2 linked regions of the Caenorhabditis elegans genome follow. The protein of the gene in region 1 purifies or fractionates together with the protein of each later gene. This does not show direct contact. Each region holds a gene or a part of one and is shown in the gene's direction. Other genes may lie near its edges.

The links. The genes of interacting proteins can lie anywhere in the genome.
Region 2: the proteins of T11F8.4 (region 1) and K05G3.2 fractionate together in Caenorhabditis elegans (co-fractionation; one large-scale study listed by BioGRID). This does not show direct contact.

Annotation. Positions count from the first base shown.
Region 1 is NC_003282.8:5,473,606-5,478,485, reverse strand, and holds T11F8.4 (non-specific serine/threonine protein kinase), read left to right. Parts: upstream 1-1,917; 5' UTR 1,918-1,970; coding exon 1,971-2,018; intron 2,019-2,066; coding exon 2,067-2,414; intron 2,415-2,763; coding exon 2,764-2,925; intron 2,926-3,158; coding exon 3,159-3,358; intron 3,359-3,405; coding exon 3,406-3,763; intron 3,764-3,816; coding exon 3,817-4,308; 3' UTR 4,309-4,355; downstream 4,356-4,880.
Region 2 is NC_003284.9:16,493,118-16,500,378, forward strand, and holds K05G3.2 (uncharacterized protein), read left to right. Parts: upstream 1-1,812; 5' UTR 1,813-1,897; intron 1,898-3,220; 5' UTR 3,221-3,261; intron 3,262-3,312; 5' UTR 3,313-3,409; intron 3,410-3,511; 5' UTR 3,512-3,536; coding exon 3,537-3,652; intron 3,653-3,903; coding exon 3,904-3,941; intron 3,942-3,997; coding exon 3,998-4,082; intron 4,083-4,195; coding exon 4,196-4,239; intron 4,240-4,287; coding exon 4,288-4,393; intron 4,394-4,780; coding exon 4,781-4,815; intron 4,816-4,865; coding exon 4,866-4,944; intron 4,945-6,381; coding exon 6,382-6,428; intron 6,429-6,475; coding exon 6,476-6,587; intron 6,588-6,685; coding exon 6,686-6,758; downstream 6,759-7,261.

The DNA of each region.
Region 1 (4,880 bases):
AGAGAGCAGGTACCCAATCCTTCAACACGTAGGTATAATCTCCAGCGTACATTGCTACACAGAGCACTCCGATTGGCACAAGGAACATGTGAAACCACGATCCACAAACATTTTTCCATCCATCATTGCATTGCATGTTACGGCACAATGGTTCCATCTCGTGAATGAACAAGAAATAAACCAAAGCAGTCAGCACATTGCAAACGAAAAACGCGAAGTACGTCGTCTGAACTTCAACACTTAGGACAACAATGAAAAACAATCAGTTACAACTTACCATTGGTGACCTCTGGAAATTATAAAAGCATAGCAGAGCCATAAAACTGAGAAAACTGATTGTATGCGTTCCCTTCATGTAACTCCATTTGAAATCTTCTAAATCTCCTCTTTCACATGTCGATTCGAAGCCCCATCGGCGCGATTTGGCGATTACAAAAAGGGAACCGTAGAGAACAATTGTCGGAAAATCCCGAATAGAGTATATCTGTGCCATTCATCGGTAAGGTCAAATACTTCGTATTCGTAGAATTTCAAGTTTAATTTGTTTAATTTGTCCGCAAGTTTAATTTGTCCGTCACTGGCTGCCAAGTATGTTTTGTAATTGAGAAAAAGTGATGGGAAGTAGAAGAATGCAGCTAACCACACCTTCAACACGTGACCATACTCTGTATTCATGTAAATTGAGACACCGAGAACTCCAATTGGAGTGAGCATCCAAAGACCCCACGCATCGAAAACATCCTTCCATCCATGCCTGCACTTCATCTCACGACATAATGATTGCACTCCCCAAATGTACTTGAAATAGAGCCCGGCAGTTAATGAATTGGAAATGAAGAACGCGAAGTAGGAGACCTGTAATTAAACAATGTATTTTGAAACTAAAAGTTTACAACTTACCAATGGGCTCCTTTGAAAATAGTAAAAAGATAATAATGCCAACAAATTCAGATGAGACATTCCATAAGACCCAATGATGTAGTTTCGTTTGATTTTTCCCAGATTTCCAGTTTCCGTCACTGATCCGTTCGATTTGCTCAATGCAATAAATACCAGCATAAGAATACAAAAAGTATAAATCGCGAACACAGTGTTGTTGTCCCATACATCAGACATATCAACTAACTCGTATTCGTAGAGTAGAATAGCAGTAAGAATAGTAATAGGAATATTAAAACATTGGACATATCCCGGATATTTATGAATTTCATTCATTTCGAACGATGAAAATAAATAAAAAACAGAAAAACAGTCAGAACCGAGGACTGCCATTTTATCTTGAGTTTGCAAAAGAGGGTAATCAAATTAGAAATCACGCGCGACAACAAGTAGATCAAAACTATTTTGTATATCAAAATTATTTACTCCATTGGCAATTGGTAAGACAGAGTAGATCAAAAAGTTGTTTTCTAACAAAACTGCAGAAAATTATCGATTTAGCATATTTGCAAGAGAAACGATTTAAGACACACATATGTAGAGAGATTAATTAAGATTTGAAAAACGTGAATGCATAATAATATGAATTGAATTATGATTATAAAGTGGTGGAGCCTGTAATACACAAGTATGGTGCAGAACTTTAGTTTTGAGAAGTTAATTTTTTTTATTAGCCTACTGATTGTATTATCAACTTTATTGGCCGATTTAACCGTATTTTAGCCCTCAAAGAATTTGTTCACATGTAGTGTTGTAATGGAATTCGCAGAGTAGTAGGAAAATAAAATTTGAAAACCACTTTTGAAGTTATCTTTAGTGAACTGTTTCAAACAAATATTTAATACTTTTTATTCAGAAAAGTTTCAAATTAACACCACACTTGTTTTCTAAAAACGTGAAAATATTAGATTGTACTTTGCGACACGTCGTTAAGTTGAAACAAATGAAACGATTACTCAGAGTTCGCCAAAAAGAATCATTCCTAGCTTGTTGGCAGTCTACAACACAACCAATATTTTTCATCAAAAGAAATGACAAGTGGCGAAAAATTACCGAGTCTTAAGCTTGATATGAATGTTGTAAGTTTGCTCTTTAACTTTTTGGAAAAAATCAAAAGCCGTTTTCAGCCGGTTCGAAACAAATGGCATCCGGTAAAGGTACTCGGATCAGGAGCATTTGGAAAAGTAGTCCATGTTGTCAATATAGTGGATGGTTCCGATGGGGCAATGAAAATGGAAAAGTACCAGGAGGGAAATGAATCAGTGCTTAAAGGTGAAGTAGAGGTGTTGCGTGCATTGTCAGGCCAGAAGAATGCAATACAATTGCTGGATAGTGGATTGGAACCCGATTATCGATTCATTGTAATGACATTATGTGGAATGGATCTACAGAAGGTCTACAATCTATTGAAAGGACAGTTCTCCGATTCTACAGTTCTTCGTGTTGCAATTCGAAGTCTACATGCAGTCAAAGCGGTATGGGAATATTATTTTATCGGGACTGAATTATTTCGCACAAAAGTTTGGCTCGTAGACCGGTAGGCATGAGAAAAGAACATATGCATGCAGGTATGAGGCAGGTGCCTAGGTAGAAAAGTGAGGTTTCAGTTCGAGCAAGCATGTAGAGATAAAAGCGTAGGTAATAGGTAGGCAGCTAGGCAGATATTCGTGAGAGTAGGAATGTAGGCAGCCAAGTTTTATACTTTTAGGCATGTAGGTAGCCACGAGGTAGGTTCGTAGACCTGAAAACATAACCTTATATTTTATGCGGTTTTGACATGAAAATTTAAAATCCTTTTAAAATAAATTTACCTTAAATTTTCAGCTTCACGAAGCATGCTACATACACCGAGACTTGAAGCCATGCAACGTTACATTGGACTACAACGAATATTCGCCGTTAATTTTTCTCATAGATTTCGGAATGGGGCGAAAATATGCAAAGATTGATGAAGGAGAGTACGTCATTCGACGTCCACGAGATGCGGTATGAAGTCTAGAATTTATTGTTTTCTGGTGGAATAGTGACTTTCTATTTTTCTGAGTTGGTCTCGCCACGATCTCAGACATACAATCGCGCCAGAACGGACGCTTCATGATCACTGCTATGTTGCTTCTCGTCCTGGCGCGACAATAGTGGTTTCTTCAGATAAAACTCTGAAAATAGTTGCCTAATCTAATACGTTTGTAGAAACTTACAAAAATCTTCCACATTTTCAGTGCCGTTTCCGTGGTACAATTCGCTATTGCTCTCCCCGTATGCATCTTCGTCGTGAGCAGGGACGTGTCGATGACCTCTACGCCTGGCTCTACATGATCGTCGAGCTGAAAGTCGAGCTGCCATGGTCAGAAGTGGTGCATCCCGACAGGATCGAGTTTTTGAAGCTGGAAAAGTTTGATGCAGCTATGGCTAGCAATCCGTTCGTTTATCTGTTTTATTTCACGTTATTTCAAATCTTTTTTTTAGACTCACAAAATCATTCGAACCAATCATGGATCATTTGAAGACGCTTAGATATCCCGATCGTCCAAATTATTTGATGATCTACGAGCTCTTGGCGAAGATGATGTCGGACTTGAATGCCAAGCACACTGATCCAATGGATTATGATGTTTTTCGGAAGAAGAATGAGGTGACCGATGCTATCAAGAAAAAGTACCAAACGCGATCAAGATTGCCTGAAAAAGCATTAGAGGAGAGCGCTACGATTGCAGTACTTGAAGAGGCATTCCGTCCAAAAACATCCGACGTTCCCGGAGGTGACCAGTACGTGGTGAAGCCTCTTTTGAAGCTGTCATGGGGATCGGTCGTTGCTGCATCTGATGTTAGTTTATATATATGTTTTGTCAAAGATAACTCTTGATTATTTAATTTTAGTTTCCAACTGCGGATGAGGTAGAAACAGTTGAAGAGAAAGATCTGAAAAAGAAGCAAGACGCCAAGAATCAAGAATCTGATAAAAGAAAGAACTCGGATCGAAAAAAGAAAAGTGAGAGAAAGAAGAAAGGATCGAAAGGAGACATGATTCTGGAGAAGTCGAAAGAAACGAAGGATCATAGAGAAAGTGGACGTCGCCTCACTGATCGGGAAGCTAATGCTGTTGGCGGAAAATCCATCGATGCCAAGTCAAAGGGAAATAAGGATATGGAGCAAAGGACTATCATGATTGACAAACCTGGAAGCATAACTCCGAAGAGCAAACGGTCGAGAACAACAACTAAAATTCCACATAAAACTCCACATAAATCTCATCTCAGAAAGGAGAAGCAGGAGTCGTCAGCCAACTCGAAGAGATTGAATGTTGCCCCATTGGTTCATCCCACAGTGCTTGTAGTCCCTGCATCCAAGAAAAAACCAAAAGGAACTTGAATCATTTAGTATGAATACTACTCGAATAAATTAGTTTTTGACTTTCAAAAATGTTGAACCGATTTCTTCTATTTCACTTTTTCATCCAGTTATCAGAAGCTTAGAAATAATTTCATCACAACCGGGAAGTTTAATACAAACTATTTTTGCTGCTGAATAACTAGAAGATGTATTTTTTATATTAAATGAACTTTTTTCTTACCTAAAAGCAGACACTTCTGAAAAGTGGAAGAAGTTTTCGAAGTTTTTATTCCGAAAACTGGAAAATATCAACAAAAAAAAATCGAAAAATTGAATATATAAAAAAGGCTGAACAATTTTTTCAACGTTCCAAAAGTTTCTTGTGTATTTTAAATTTCAATAAATTTTGAAACTGAAAATATTTTTTGAAACATTTCAAAATTAGCAGAATTTTTTGTGCGGAATGATTGCCGAGACGCGAAATTTTGCGCAAGAATACGGTGTCCGGTCTCGACACGCTTTTTTGGTAACTACAAAATGGTTGCCGAGTACTGTAATTTCAAACTTTGACTGCTGCGGAATTTTAATCGATTCTTTATATTTAGTTTTTC
Region 2 (7,261 bases), on another chromosome or scaffold:
TCTTGCATACAATAAGCTGAATGAATATTTCATAACTTATTGATGAATACGGTAGACTTGCTGTTTCTGTTTTTTCACCTCCTTTGAAAAACTACAATTAGAAAAAAACGCATAGGAAGAAATAAACACATTTTGCTAGTTCCATAGTTTTCAAAAAGCGTGAATCGCCAAAGTTCACAGAACTTGGATTTAAACAATTTCGTCGTTTCAAACGACTTTTTTTTAAAATTTTCCTGTTAAAATATGAAATTCAAGCCCCAACCTCAAAAGTGTCAATTTTTTATACTATGTTTTTTTAACTTTCTGAAAAAAATTTGTATTGTTCCCAAGCGCAAACATCCCGATTTTGTCCACGATTTGCATATTCTTCTTGTCTGTATTTCCCCACATATAAAAACCGTGTTCCATGTTCGTTTTTGTTTCCTTTTCGTCTCAACGCCAGCTTTATCATTTTTCTTATTAACAAAGTTTCAAATTAAATCAAACTAATTATCTAAATAAGAATTTTGATTTTTTTTTGTCATTGGTTTTTCTGACACCGGAACTTTTTGGTGGATATAGAAAACTGAAGTGTAACATTCTGATAGTTCATACTGAGTCTCTATGTATGTAGTTATAACCAAAAAAATGCACCAGAGCCGAACATGAGATTGTTAGCAATCAGTTTATTTTTTAAAATTGGTCAAACTTGTACAATCATTTTTCAACAATTAAAAAAAGTTCAGTTTTTTAAACCCGCAAAAAATCGCCTGTGTAAACTTCCTGATTAACACTGGAGCATTCAGCAATTGTCAGAATATCTTCAAACACCAAGAGTTCAATTGGGGCCCGAATAGGTTTTTCCTCTCCAAGCATCAAAACTTTTTGGAAATTAAAAATCAAAAATTTGAAAGGTATTGCAATTTGTTCGTTATTGCAATATGAAGTGTATAAGCGGTTTTTTTTTAATACTTTCCCGTTCTAGAAATAGTGCAGTACCAAAATCTGGGAGTGTAACCTCGGAAACACACTTCATTTTCCTTTTTCAATTGTCAATAATTCAATTGTGTGTTCTGTTAGCCCCTGTTAAAGAAATATTCGATTTTTCAGTTTGATTTTTCGACTTTAAACTTTTGAAGCAAAAAAAGATTAAGCCGTTCTATTTGTGGCTTGAAACGGTTAGGCCCCCGGAGATCCGACTTTTTCATAGCAGTATTTCCGAATAAGATAATCTTTTTTCAGAAGCTTATATACTTCTATTATCAAAAAAGATAATACTTTTCTTTTTTTGAAGATAACATTCAATATTTCTAAATGTATTCAACCATAAGAACTTTGGAAATAATCCTCTTGTAATGTTGCTACGTATTTGCTCTTTTTTTTTCATTTTTTGAAAACTTCTTCAGTAATAGCTTATAGTTAGCTGATTAATATACATATTTTACAGATTTCAGTTCTAAGTTTGTCAAAAAAATTTACTGCAACAAACAAACCCTCGTCTCCAGGAATTATCGGGTTTGGCGTGAATTGAAAAAGTCGGTGAACGGCTAACCGATAAAAATCGACAATGTGAGGTTGATTTTTTTTAGAGTTGTTTCTTGAGATTGTCAATTCAAACATTAAATTGCGCAGTTTTATATATTTTTATTGTGAGCAAAAAAAAAGTACAGCTTACATATTATGTTTCAGTTAAAACTAACCACACTTTATTTCAGGTCACACCCAAATTATAACAGGCAACCTTCCTATGGTGAGTAAAAATAAACAAAAATCAGCAAAGTACAACATTCTGATTTCTAGAAGGCAATAATGGAAGAAATGATGATCGCAGAACATGGAATGCTCATCATCAGGGAAATAATGGATATCGTGAAAATGATGGAACTGGAAACGCCCAATATGGACCAAACGACAATAGGTATGTTTTTTTTTTTTGAGTTTGACTTTTTAGTCGCGAATCTAATTTTTTTGCGATCAAGCGATGCAATAAAAATTGAATACATGAAACATTCTTTAAACTTTACTTTTTTGCTGCAATACTAATTTTTGATTGTCTCGTATTGGCGCGTATTATAATAAAGGACATACCGTCAGCTATTGTTTAGTTAGTTCACCCTCCGTAAACCTCCGTCACGTCCAATCAATAAGTGGCAGGAATCCTTACGTCATAAAAACTGCAGATGGCAAAGTCAAAGATGTACCAACTATGTTGGTTGATAGTTGGTACATACGCATAGTTGGCACGTCTTTAATTTATCCTTCTCTGTTTTGCTATTTAATGATGTTTACACACAATTTCTCTGTAACTACGTGATAAAATAAACATTTAATTAGTAGATTGCTGCTAATTTTTTTCGTTTTGAAAAAGAGACCATTCAAAATAAAATCAACTTGATGGACAACGTTATCAATTATTTTTTTTCCCTACTGTTAAAATTTAGGAAGAAATCAAAACTCATAGTTTTTCTAATTTTATATTTAGTTTATTTTATAGTGTACTGCACATTTTACAAAAGGAAAGATGGGAAAACTTAGATCGGGAAAATTCACCAAGACGGAGCCGGTGAGTTAAATTGTTTACGGAAAAGATGTAGATAGGCCTAGCGTTCTCATGCAGACGCCAAAACACCTGTCGCTCCCGCCTTGCGGCGATCTCTACCTGCCTCGCGCCGCAAGTCGCGCTTCCTGTATAGTGTGGCGTGAAACCCGATAAGTGCCTTATCACATTTTTTGCAAAATTAAAAAAAAATCTCTTTTTTCGAAACAAAAAATTATGAGATTTTTCTGTTAAATTAGTTTTAAAACATAATTTGCTTTTCAATTTTGAAAGTTTTCCGAAAAGTTAATAGGGTCCACCCATCTTGATTTATTTGATAGACCTAGATGTAGATTAACTAATGTATGCATATTAGCGCCATAATAAGATCCTGTAAAAATGTATAACATTTTTCGTGGCCTATTTTTTTGAAGCTGTGGGAGTTTTTGTTATCAACTAAGATCTTTCATTTGACAGTGGTTTCAAAAAATGTTGAACACCAAAAGTGTTCTAGCCCGGATCCGGTTACCTCAGGCTTTTATAAAAAAGAAGTAGTGAACTTTTTTTTGAAGCTACCGTCAAATCAAAAATTATGGTTAATTACAGTAAATACCGCATTTTTCGAAAAATCGGTGAGCCACGAAAAAAGGTATGAGTTTTGACCAGGAACTTATCCCTCCCCATATTTTACAACACTGTTTACAGATCGTATTCCCCGCGGGATGATCACAGGAGAGGAAGCCCAGGTAGTTGATAAAGCAATGTATATAAATGAGTAACTGAGAAAATGTTTTAAGATAGAAATGATTCAAGAAACGGGTATAATAATGGAAACAACCGATATGTGGAAAGATGGGACAATTCAAATGGGGAAGAATCACGGAGACGGAGCCGGTGAGTTGATTTGTTTGTGCAAAAAATGTACATTAGCTGGTGTAAAGTTATATGAAGAGAAATTGAAAATTAGCTTACGTTTGATAGAGCAACTTTTCCTAGATCGCCCTTGAGGCACAATGGAAATATGCAAGCTTTCGATAATTTCAATGGACAAAATCAAAGGACTTTTTATTATCAGGCAGGCAATGTGCAAATAAGCGCAAAAATAAATTTGCCTGAAGGAACATGTGGAGACGATATGTAAGTTTTTTTTTAGTTTGTATGAAGAAAATTTTTCTCGATAATTTTTAACAACGTTTTTTAAAGAAAAATCCACACAATAGTGTCCATTAATGTCTTTTTCAGTCATTTTTCCGCTCTCATGAATGATCATGTTTGACATAAATTTTCACAGTTTCAAAAAATGAATAAGTAGCGATAAAGTTGTGAATTTGGACCGGGAACAAATCCCTCTAATAGAAATCAAGTGTCAATAAAAATATTTATTTTAGGCAACCTTCTTGGCACATTGGGAATAGACAGGCACAAGGTAAGTGGCAAATCAACAGAATCTGAAAACTTGGAAAATTCAAGAAAACATTCCAGATCAAAGACGGGATTCTCGTATGGGGAGCAATGTGAACAATGATGGTATGAGAAATACGGATCAAAGTTTGCGTAGGCAAGAAATGTGAGTGACACGATTTTGAAATAACCCAATTGAAAATTCATGAAAGACATGAGTTCCAGGCGAAACCTTTTTTACTGTGTGAATACAAATCTAATAATAATTTTTACTCTTAGATCATGCACACCTCCGATGCGTTACGAAAATAGACATGGAAGTCGTAAGTCGCGAAATTTCAAAAATTTCAAAAAAAAAGAAGATTTTGTAGAACATTTCCATGAAAGACAGCAGCAAATGAGTTCTAACAATGTCGGAAACGAACAACGTTCTGAAGGTAGAGGAACAGTTGGGCAATATTGCAATGGACAAGTTATGTGAGTTTTCGGGTGTTTTACAGAGTTGAGCTTTTTCTCGAAATTGTTTAACCAAATTTCATGTCACATTTTAATAACTGTATGTTGTGGCAAGTCTTTGTGTTTTGTTAGACTCAAAATGTGCTCAAAAACAAATTTCGTAATGATACTTGCTCAAAAAACTTCTCAATGAAAATTTAAGAAATTAGCTAAAACTAGGAAGTTTAAAATTACCATAAAACAAATTGAACAACTTTTGAAAAAAATTCCATACAAAGCTTGTTCATTTGAGCACATTTGGAGTTGTAAATTTTGATTTCAAAATAAATTAATACAATTGTTATGTTAGACTTGTGATATTTCTGAAATTATTTTATATACTCAATCGATAATAATTTGAACTATCAGAACACCCCCAAGTCGTGAGGAAAGGATGCGAGAACGTGAGTGACATTAAGAAAAGTTTTTATGTAAAAGCACGGTAATTTTGTAGTCAATGGCCAAAATCAAAGACAACCAAGGTGTTATTTGGGGGCGAACGGAAATTTCAATGGAACAAGACCCAATGATGCGTGAGTTTTTAGTTGTTTTTGTAGTGGTCCTCTTTTTTGAAGAAGCTTAACATATTGAGAACTTTCAGTAATCAGTAATCAATTTATTACTATATATAAAGCGCGTGTCCTTCCGTCCGTTTGTAGTTTGTAGTTTGATCTTTGATCTTTCAACTCTCTTTTCTGTAGTTGGAAGAGGTATTGGGTTGGGAGATGGTGAGGGATAATGTCAAGGTACTGTAGTAGTACTGTAGTAGTACTGTAGGTATACGGTAGGGTTACTGTAGTTCAGGAAAAATTGAGTTTTTGTCTACAGAAGAGGTATTGGGTTGGGAGTTGGTGAGGGATAATGTCAAGGTCCTGTAGTGCTGCTGTAGGAGTACTGTAGGTATACGGTAGGGTTACTGTAGCTTAGGAAAAATTGAGTTTTTGTCTACAGAAGAGGTATTGGGTTGGGAGTTGGTGAGGGATAATGTCAAAGTACTGTAGTGGTACTGTAGGAGTACTGTAGGTATACGGTAGGGTTACTGTAGTTTAGGAAAAATTGAGTTTTTCTCTACAGAAGATGTATTGGGTTGGGAGTTGGTGAGGGATAATGTCAAGGTACTGTAGTGGTACTGTAGGAGTACTGTAGGTATACGATAGGGTTACTGTAGTTTAGAACATTTTGAGTTTAAAACATTTTGAAGAGGTGTTGGCTAGGGAGTTGGTAGGGAATAGTGTCAAGGTACTGTAGTGGTACTGCTGGGGTGCTGTAGGATTATTGTAGGATTATTGGAGTTTGGTGGAAAATTGCGTTTTAAGTTTTTGAAAATGTATTGGCTTGGGAATTGGTGAGGATAATGTCAAGATATTTTGATAGTTTCTTGCTTAGAGTCGGGAACATTTGGGAAGATGTGAATTTTCATTATTTTTTCATAAGACAATTTTGAATGATTGTGTCAAACATTTCAAATGTTGCCAGTCGTTGGCCGCGCCGTAGGCGCGGTCAGCGGCTGGTAAATAATAAATCAGTAAAAAAAAAAGTAATAAAAGTAATTTTTAAAAAAAGTAATAGATCAGTAATAAAGTACTTTAAAGCAAAGTATAGTTTGTAAAAAAAATTTTTGCTAGAATCTTGAATACAATTTTTTTATAAATACCCACCATTCATTGCACATTTTTTTGTTTATTTCTTATTTTTTGGAAAATTTTGATGTTGATACATTCAAAAATGGCAAAAACTGGTCCGATGTTTTAGGGGTTTTTCGAGTTTTTCGATTCAGTATTTCGATCTTAAATTTATATCGTATGGAAGATTACTAGTATTTAAATAACTAGAGACACTCTACTTCTTGCAACTAGCAGTGTTGCTATAATTGCGCCGCACACCGCATATAAAATGTTATGGAGACATTACTTGGCAAATATCGTATTTTTGTAAATCCACCCTAGGCTAATAACAATTTCGATTTTCAGGACAAGACCTCCAATGTCCAATGGAAGCAAAAAGAAGGCAAAAGCATGTAAGTCTAAATAACAAAAGCTTCAATAACACTAATAATATTTATAGCGAGACGTGACGATTCGAGCGATGATGATCTTTATGCTGATGATCCGAATGATCCGGATTACGATCCCCACTTGCATATGATCGTAGTGTCAACTAAGAAAGAGCCCGTAATGTAAGTTTCATTATTTTTGAAGCATGTTGTAGATCAAAACGTTGTCAACTTTTCTGATTTTAAAATTGTTATTTTTGAAAATAAATCAATATTTTCAGGCCAGAACAACAAAGTTTATCTTTGACTGGAGATGAAAATCATCAGAATGAAGGAAGCAACAATATGGAGTAAGTTTTTCATGTTAAGGGTTTCTTCTATTAGAGAGGCATTCCGAATTAGAGAATGTGATAATAATTTTTGAGCGGGTTTACTCGAATTTTTTCTAGTGTATATACGTAATATCATAATTACTTTAATTTCACCAATTCAGCAACAAACAAACTAAAGAAAAACACGTATTTTCCGACTGACCAGTTTAAATAGTTCAAGTTGTATATATTGATACTGACTAAACGACAATTATTAATGTTTCACAATTTGATTATAAAGAATTTCAGTTTGCAAGACCCCGCGTTGCCCAGAAGTCACAGAAGGAGGTAAGTAAATTGAAAGAATGATGGATTGTTGTTTCAACTCTAATGTGATAATGGCGGCACTGTATATTGATTATTGCTCACACTGATACTTCCTGTATCCCAAAAATAGAATTTTAAATCTTTTGATATTTCTACTCAATTGTGAATTTAATCAAAATGAGAGGATTTTTTTGCATGTGGTTAATTTAAAAAAACACC